Oryctolagus cuniculus: one gene and its partner. The protein of the gene in region 2 purifies or fractionates together with the protein of the main gene of each other region. This does not show direct contact. Links are inferred from orthologs where the notes say so. Each region holds a gene or a part of one and is shown on either strand. Other genes may lie near its edges.

The links.
Region 1: the proteins of TFAP4 (region 2) and FBXW11 purify together in Homo sapiens (affinity purification with mass spectrometry; 7 studies listed by BioGRID and IntAct, counting the BioPlex papers as one, with this or other methods). This does not show direct contact. The link is inferred for Oryctolagus cuniculus from reciprocal best matches to the Homo sapiens genes TFAP4 and FBXW11.

What each region holds. Positions count from the first base shown.
Region 1 is NC_091437.1:58,691,891-58,696,162, forward strand, and holds the start of FBXW11 (F-box/WD repeat-containing protein 11), read right to left. Parts: upstream 2,925-4,272; 5' UTR 2,777-2,924; coding exon 2,732-2,776; intron 1-2,731.
Region 2 is NC_091450.1:31,318,162-31,321,962, reverse strand, and holds part of TFAP4 (transcription factor AP-4), read right to left. Parts: exon of another isoform or gene 2,473-3,801; intron 1,601-2,472; coding exon 1,435-1,600; intron 1,312-1,434; coding exon 1,213-1,311; intron 918-1,212; coding exon 747-917; intron 186-746; coding exon 45-185; intron 1-44.

The DNA of each region.
Region 1 (4,272 bases), on a different chromosome or scaffold from region 2:
AAGTCCGTTACCTCCTTCTAATATAGCACACTCTGGAATATCAAATGAAAGTTATCTTAGTTAACCATTAAGTTCCACACTGGTGCAGGCAGCACACTCACAAATATGTGAGTACTGAAGCTGACTCATAAAAATCTAAAATATTTCATACTTTAGCCTTATAAAATACCATTGGTTTAACCCATTCCCTCAGTCATGTTACTTTAAAACCAATATAAAAAATACGTTTAACTTAGTTCTGGAAACTGTACTTTGAAAATAGTAAATACTGAAAGCCACAAGCAATTGGATTTTTAAGGCATGATTCCTATATTTGATCCTGGATTTTACTTAATCAGTTTGCTAAGCAACTGCACTATATATCCTATACTAAAATAAATACATATAAGCTTATGAAAAGGGCTATCTAACAGTCTTAACTGATAGCCCCTTCAGGAAATACTGAAATCCTTAAATGAAAAATAATTTTAAAACTGACCATAACTACTAAATTCTCTGCTAAATTTTCTAAGAATCCCAGTTTAAGTCTTAGTTTATAATGTCCTTAGAAGGTTGAGCTCTCTTTTCAGATCAAAGACAAGTACCATATCATGTAAAATCAAATCTGCCCGCATTATGGATTTAGGAAGTCAGTAAATGTAGGCCAAAGACTTTTTATTTTAAGACACTCAAAGACACTGACTTGGGTTGCACAGTACATTTTATTCTAATGCTTTTGAAAATAAAGACATTTTAGTTATTTCTTACATGAATGGAAATGGAAGGAGCTCATAACAGCCCATTTCAAAGAGCTACCAAGTTAACAATTTTTCAACATGAAGTATTTCTCCTGTGGTGAGTACATGAATTTTACATCCTCAAGAACGTATCCTTAAGTCATATATGTAATTACGACTATGCAAATTATTTTACCAAAATTCCAAAAAGATCATTAAAGATTTTAACTGTTAAGATCATTTTACCCAAATTACCCACTACAAAAGTAGCAGAATACGAAACACTTGACTAAGTGGTTTGATAAAGTAGGCTGAAAAGGAAAATCACTCAGTAAATGAAGATCAAACAAAAACCCAAGTTGACATTAACCCTTTGAAAACAATGGCACATGTGCACACACACCCATACGCAAGAACTGGGAACTATCAGAATTTTTTCCCTAGTTTTCAAGAGTGCTGAGGAAGTCCAGCTTTGTAAGTTATGCAGAGGACAGTAAATATTAAGCTGCCTCAGAATTTACGCTACTGTACTTCCATTTTTAAGACCTGTATCTCAACTCCCCAGATGCCATCATCCACAGACACCATGCAGCTACCCCACAGACTTTCAGTGTCACCATTTATTATTTATAGCATTAAATGGGGGAAGTGGCTCTGATGTCACCAACCCTACCCAGTGGAATCACTGACTCAATAAACATTTTCACACTGGAGAAAATCTGGCTAGGAAAACATTTTGCTGGGTTAAGTAGATTCTTTAGCCTTTTCTCTCTCCACCCTACCAGGGTTGAAGTTGCTACAGTCTTGGGAGAGATACAAAGAAACTGTCGAGGCTTCTACAGGAAGAATCCCTGGGCATGGTCGTTTGCTGAAGCAAAGACTTCCTTCCCTCCAGAGCCCCGTTTGATTTATCTTCAATTGGCAGGTAATTCCTGCCATATTTTATTTCCTCCACCACATCGGCCGCCAATTAGCAAATTCTTCACTTCTGCTAGCCACTCTCGCATGGTCCTGTTTCTAAAAACTCCTCTGGATCCAAGTCGTAGACGGAAAGGGGAGGAGGGTGTCCGTGAACCGGGGAGTATCAGCCAATGGCTTCTAACAGAAGAATGGTCGCTCCCCCCAGGGGCCAAGGAACCCTCCCCCCCTCTTTTTTTTTTTTTTTTTTTTTTTAGAGAGAAGAAAGAATTGGCGGCAGTGATGAGCTCGACGGTCGCCTCGCTCCACCCCCCACCCCACCCCCAATTTCCCAAAGCAGCTCAAGGAAACGTGAAGTTATGGTTTCCCTTTCCAAGGGGATGGAATCCAGAGTACCTGGGGCCTCGCTGTGCAAACATCCCTCTCGGCTGGGTAGGAAACCCTTTGTCCGAGAAGCCTGACACCACAGGAGCCCAGGGAAGAGGCCCCTGATCCGTAACAGCCTCTGATCAGAGAGCTCCCCACCTCCCCAGTCCTGTAGGGCCTATCCCAGGCATCCACACAGCCCTGGGCTGGAGAGAGGGTGCTGAGACCCCTCTTAGGACCCGGAGGCCGAGGCAGCCCGTAACGATCTCCTCTGTACTCTCTCCCACCACCACCTCATTCGGCCTAAGTGGTGCTTGCAAGCGCGGTGCGGGCCTGAGCCAGAGAAATACAAGGTGCGCGCGCGGGGGGGGGGGGGGGGGGGGATGATCGCCTCCTAAAAGAAAGAGAATGAGATGCTAGCACGATGTGACCTAAAGCTACAGCATGAACGAGCGAGGGTCGTTCCGAAAGATGGGCCGGAGACGGGACAGGGACGGGGGGGGGTGGGGGGAGAACCGAGGGGCATGGAGGGGGCCGGGCCAAGTCCGGCCTGAGATCTCGAGGGATCGGGAGGCACCGCGCTGGGCCCGAGGCCAGGACACGGCTGGCCCGGATCTGGGCCGAGGCGGCGGGGAAGGGCCAAGGCCAGCCTCGCGCCGGACGTTGAGGTGGGCAGGCCCGCCTGGGGCCGGACGGACGGAAGAACGGACGGTCCAGCGGGCCGCACTCACCATGAGCTCGATGGTCTTGTCTTCAATCACCGAGTCGGGCTCCATGGCGGCCCCGGCGGCCCCGCCTCGCTCTCCCCGCGCAGCAGCGAACGGCCCGGGCGGAGGAGGCGACGGCGGAGGCTGCAGAGGCGGAGGCGGCTCTCGCACCCACTCTAGCTGCCAGCCCGCCCGGGCCGCCGGCAGCTCCGCCCTCCCCCTCGGCGAACGCAGTACGCACGGCGGGCACTACAGCTCCCAGCAGGCGCCGCGGGCCCCGCAGAGCGTTGTGGGAACGAGAAGCCGACCCCGAGCCGAGCTTTCCTGATAGCCGGAAGCCAATTCTGAGCCGAAAGTAGCACTGCCCTGTGAACGCGGGACGTACAGACCAGAAGAATTAAGGGCTGGCTCGGGGTAGGGTCTCGGGAGCGCCACGACTACATGTCCCAGAAAGACTTGCGCGCAGGTTCTCCTTCCGGCTGCCTTCTCTTGACTTCCTGGCAGCCTAAGGCTGCGGAGACCGGGACGGAAACTCGGAGACGACTCCCCGCTTGTCAGAGATCCTGCGTGTGCGACCAGTTTCCGCACATGCGCGATGGGTGTCTGCAGTGCCCATTCGACGCCTAAGTAGCGAGGCTTCGGGTCCGCCGGTGCTTGGGGGAGGGCGAGGGGGAGGTGGTGGAGACTGATGGATTGAGTGCATTAGGAAGGTGGGCTCTTGGGGCTCAAGTGTGGGAAGAGGACGGCAAGAGAGAGAAGCTTGACCGAGGGAAGCAGCTGGAAGGGTATGGGAGGACTGAGGGGGCTGGAGATGAAGTTGGGGAAGGGGGATGCTGACGTGCTGTGGGCCTGTCTGGCTGCCCCACGGATTAGGAGCTGAGAGACCAAAGGGAACGTGCGTGGGCTGAGCCGCTCTTCCTCATTCATTCGTTCAGAGCTGCTTTGTAAGCATCCACCTTTGCCGCGTACAGCTGTAGGCACAGGGAGTCAGCTCTCAACATGACTCTGTTCTCGTGGAGTTTAATTGTGAGAGGAAGGCGGCAGACACGAACGGGAAGAATGGCAGGTGCTCAGAAGCAAAACTTGGAGACTCCTCTCAGTTGAACTCAGCCTCCTGACTTTGCAGACTTCGCCATTCCTCTGACCAGAACCCAGCGGGAACACACGGAGGGTTGAACGCATTGCTTTTCCTGCTAGTTGAAGTGAGTGAGAGCACACACCAGGAGAAGCCGGAGGAGGGCGTCTCAGGAAGGTGATCCGGGAGACTTGAGGCCGTCGAGACTGTCAGGCAGTGGTGGTCATTCGTTGATCGTCCATCTCAATAAATCTTATCAGAAGGAAGGGAATTTTGGGTAGAGGCTTAAGCTTTAGTTGGTAAAGGAGCAGCAGCCCCCTCCAACTAACTGGAATGGGTGTTTGGTCATTTTTTGTGGTTTGGACAACATTGGTGTTTTATCTGCATTCAGGCATGATTAAGGATGGTCTCGGTTTTTGTCTTGACCACTCCTGGTCACAGCTTGGCCTTGTCTGATGTTAATGTTCTGTCCAATGATTCGTGTTCTACA
Region 2 (3,801 bases):
CACCAAGGTCAGGCCGCGAGGCCCCGCCCAGCACCCGCGCTCACCTGGGTCCGCAGGTGCTGCTGTTCCCGCTCCAGCTTTTCCTGGTGCAGCAGCCGCACCTGTTCCTGCTGCTGCTGCAGCTGCACCTGCTGCGCGATCACCTTGAGCTTTTCCGGGTACATGTGGGCCTCCAAGGAGCGCACCTGGACGCGGAAGGACAGCAGGCTCAGGCCAGCGCCTGCACCACACCCTCGTCCACTGCTGCCACAGCAGTCGCTTGCTAAAATCCTCAACAACGCCAGCACACAGAGCCCTGGGCTTGGACAGAGACGGCAGCCCTGACCACCGCCCACGACGCTGTCCTCACCTCCCACCTGCTGCTGCTGGAACTTGGAACACCCTCGGCCCTCTGGGCCCGATCCGCCAGAGGAGCTGTGGACCACGCCCTGGCACCATGCAAACGACCCCTGAGGCCGCAGCGCCATCCTTAGATTCCAGTCCTCCCTGCGCCCCCCACAGACCGCCCCCACCCCAGGGGCAGGGTCTCCCTGAACACCGGCCCGCGGCGCGCCCCTCACCTGCTCCTCCAGCATCATGCGCACCGGGCCCCCCCCCAGGGGCAGGGTCTCCCCGAACACCGGCGGACGGGAAGCCCGCGGCGCGCCCCTCACCTGCTCCTCCAGCATCATGCGCCCCGCCCCCCCCCCCAGGGGCAGGGTCTCCCTGAACACCGGCGGACCGGAAGCCCGCGGCGCGCCCCTCACCTGCTCCTCCAGCATCATGCGCACCGAGCGCTCCTTATCCAGCTGCTGCCGAAGCTCGATCATCTCCCGCCGCAAGTCCTCGGCCTTCTCGTCCTCCCAGATGTCCGGCGAGCCGATGCCCTCGTCCTTGTCCTCCGCCCGCCGCCGCTTCGGGGACGAGCCGCTCAGCTCCTGGGGAGGCCAAGGGGCCAGTGAGGGCGCCTGACACCGGCACAGAGGCGGGGGCGCTCCGCCACAGCCCCCACACGCCCCGCATGTGGATCCTGCAGATCCAACTGACTGGCCACACGGACGCAGAATGGACCCGGCTTCTAGAACATTCATCGGGTTCCCTCCTGAGCCCGCTCCACTGCGACTGACAGATGGGGACCTCGAGGCCCCAGGCCAGGGGTTGGGTCTGGCATGCGCCCAGGGGAGGAGGGCAGGGCCTGGGGGCGGGGGCGGGGGCGGGGGCTCCCGCAGGTACCTGGATGAAGCGCTTGAGCTGTGTGTTCTGCTGCAAGAGCCTGGTCTTCTCCTGCTCCAGCGAGAAGATGTACTCGGCCGTCTGCTGCAGAATGGCTGCCTGGGGGCGGCCGGGGACAGAGTCAGGCCGCGGCAGGGCCCCGCGGCTCGCTTGCTCCTCCCCCCCCAAGGCGGCCGCGGCCCCCGGGAAGGCCCCCAGGAAGGTCCCCGGGGCCCCGCCCACCTTGCTGAGCTTCTCTCCGTCCGTGTGGGGGATGAGGGTCTTGAGGGACTGGAAGCCCGCGTTGATGCTCTGCATGCGCCGCCGCTCGTTGCTGTTGGCGATCTCCCGCCGGATCCGCCGCTCCTGGTCCCGCTGCGTCTCCGGGGTCAGTGGAATGTTGGCCAGGCTGCCGGGAAGACAGGGCAGGCTCAGGCCGGCGTCCTCTGCACTCCGCCTCCGACTGGCCCCTGTCTTCTCCGTTCATTTCCGGAAGAGGGGCCTGAGTGTAGCCTGCACCCTTGACACTGCAAAAGGTGCCGGGCGTGCGGCCGGTGCTGCGGCACAGCAAGTAAAGCCGCCGCCTGTGCCGCCTACATCCCACGCGGGCGCCCATTCGTGCCCCGGCTGCTGCACTGCCAATCCAGCTCCCTGCTGATGTGGCTGGGAAAGCAGAGGTAGATGGCCCAAGTGCTTGGGCCCCTGCACCCACGTAGCAGACCCTGGAGAAGCTCCTGGCTCCTGGCTTCAGCCTGGCCCAGCCCTGGTCATTGTGGCCATCTGGGGAGTGAAACAGTGCATGGAAGACCCCTCTCTCTCTCTCTCTCTCTGTATGTAACTCTTACTTTCAAATAAATAATAAATCCTTTAAAAAAAAAAAAAAAGTGCCAGGTCTGCCTGATGCTGATGCTGGAGGGAGTGGGGGGCTGCATGGGACCCCAGGCAGACTGGAATCAGTGGGCACAGACAGCCCGCTCCAGACCGAAAAGTCGCCTGCTTCCTTTCTGGGGAGAGAGCTGTCCTCCGTAGCAGAGGCTCCCAGCTGTGTGTGGGTATCGCCTCCTTCAGAGTCGCTGGCTTGCCAGCCCAGGAGTGACAGATGGTCCCTCCCCCCCATCCCCACAGCCATGGCCAGCCACCAGCTCCACCCCAACCCCGCCCCCAGGCTGAGACTCCACAGGAGACAAGACAGGTGCCAGTCCCTCCACCACAGGGACCTCAGGCCAACAGCCCAGGGGACAGTCCCCCCCCAAGCGCATACACGCCTATAAGCAGACCCACCCTGAGGGACACAGAGCTCCGGCATGCTGTGGGCAGTGTTACTGCCGTGGCCAGTGGGGTGAGAGAGAAGGCAGCCAAGGGAGGGGCGAGGCTGTGGGCCGAGGGGCACTGGCGGGAGGCAGGCGGCAGCGGAGCCGGCGGGCCCAACGCCACTGCTCCCGAGGGGTGGGCCTGTGTGTGGCCTGGAGAAGGCTGGCCCCCCTTTCCAGGCCCCCCTGCAACTCCCCCGCCCGCGCCTGATGGCTTCCAGATGCTGGGCTCCCAGCAGAGGCCGCCAGCCCCACCCAAAGCCACAGCCAGAGGGGCCCTCCTGGGGTGACCCATGCCAGGCCTGGGCCTGGGGCACAGGGACAGCGCTCTAGCAGTGGCAACGGCAAGAGGCTCAACTCACTTAGCCTGACCTGGCCCCGGTGCCCATCCCCGGGCAGACGGCCTCCACAGGCCAGGCCAGGAAGGGCCAAATCTGCCACCAATGGACAGAGCCCACCCTGCACAGCCCGCCTCGGCCCCCACGGGGCCCTACACGCGTCCCTCAGCCAGGGGGATGACAGCCAGGGCCTCAGCCTCCTGTCCCAGCACGGAGGGGACCCACTGGGAGTGGGGTCCTCATCAAGCCAAGTCCCCTCCCCCAAGGAAGGAGGCTGGGTACCCCGCTTCGCAGATGGGACTTAGGGCTCAGAGTGGGCTGGGCTGGGCCTGATATGGGTCACACAGCTGGGGGTCCAGCTCAGAACTTGGGGGCCCAGGGACCTCCCTTCTCTGAGGTTCCCTGCCCCACAGTGGGAGTGGGGGTACTGGAAGGAGGAGGGAGCCAGGCAGAGCAGAAGTTGCTGCGGGGGCTGCTGGTCAGCCCACGGGGGAGAATCTGCCCCCAGGCCCGGCACAGCCCTCAGCCACCTAAGAGAGGCCAGCAGACCAAGGGGGACAGAGACGGCTCGGCAGCGCGCGGTTCAAGTTGAAGGGGTCGTGGGAGCAAGAGGAGATGGGGAGAGCCGGCCAATGGGTGCGAAGTCACCTGGCCACTGCAGTCTGTCTGGGGACATCCTGCCCCTCAGGAGAGAACTGAGGACGGACACCCTCCCCTACCCAGTCTCGGGTCCATCATGCCAACACCTAACGGCCTGGGCTAACCAGAGACTGGAGGTCAAAAACGAGCCCCCCTTTCTCTCTGTCTCTCACTATGCCTTTTTTTTCTTTTTTAAGATTTATTTATTTTATTTGAAAGTCAGAGTTACACACAGAGAGGAGATGCAGAGAGAGGTAGAGACAGAGAGAGAGGTCTTCCATCCGCTGGTTCACTCCCTGGATGGCAGCAACGGCTGGAGCTGT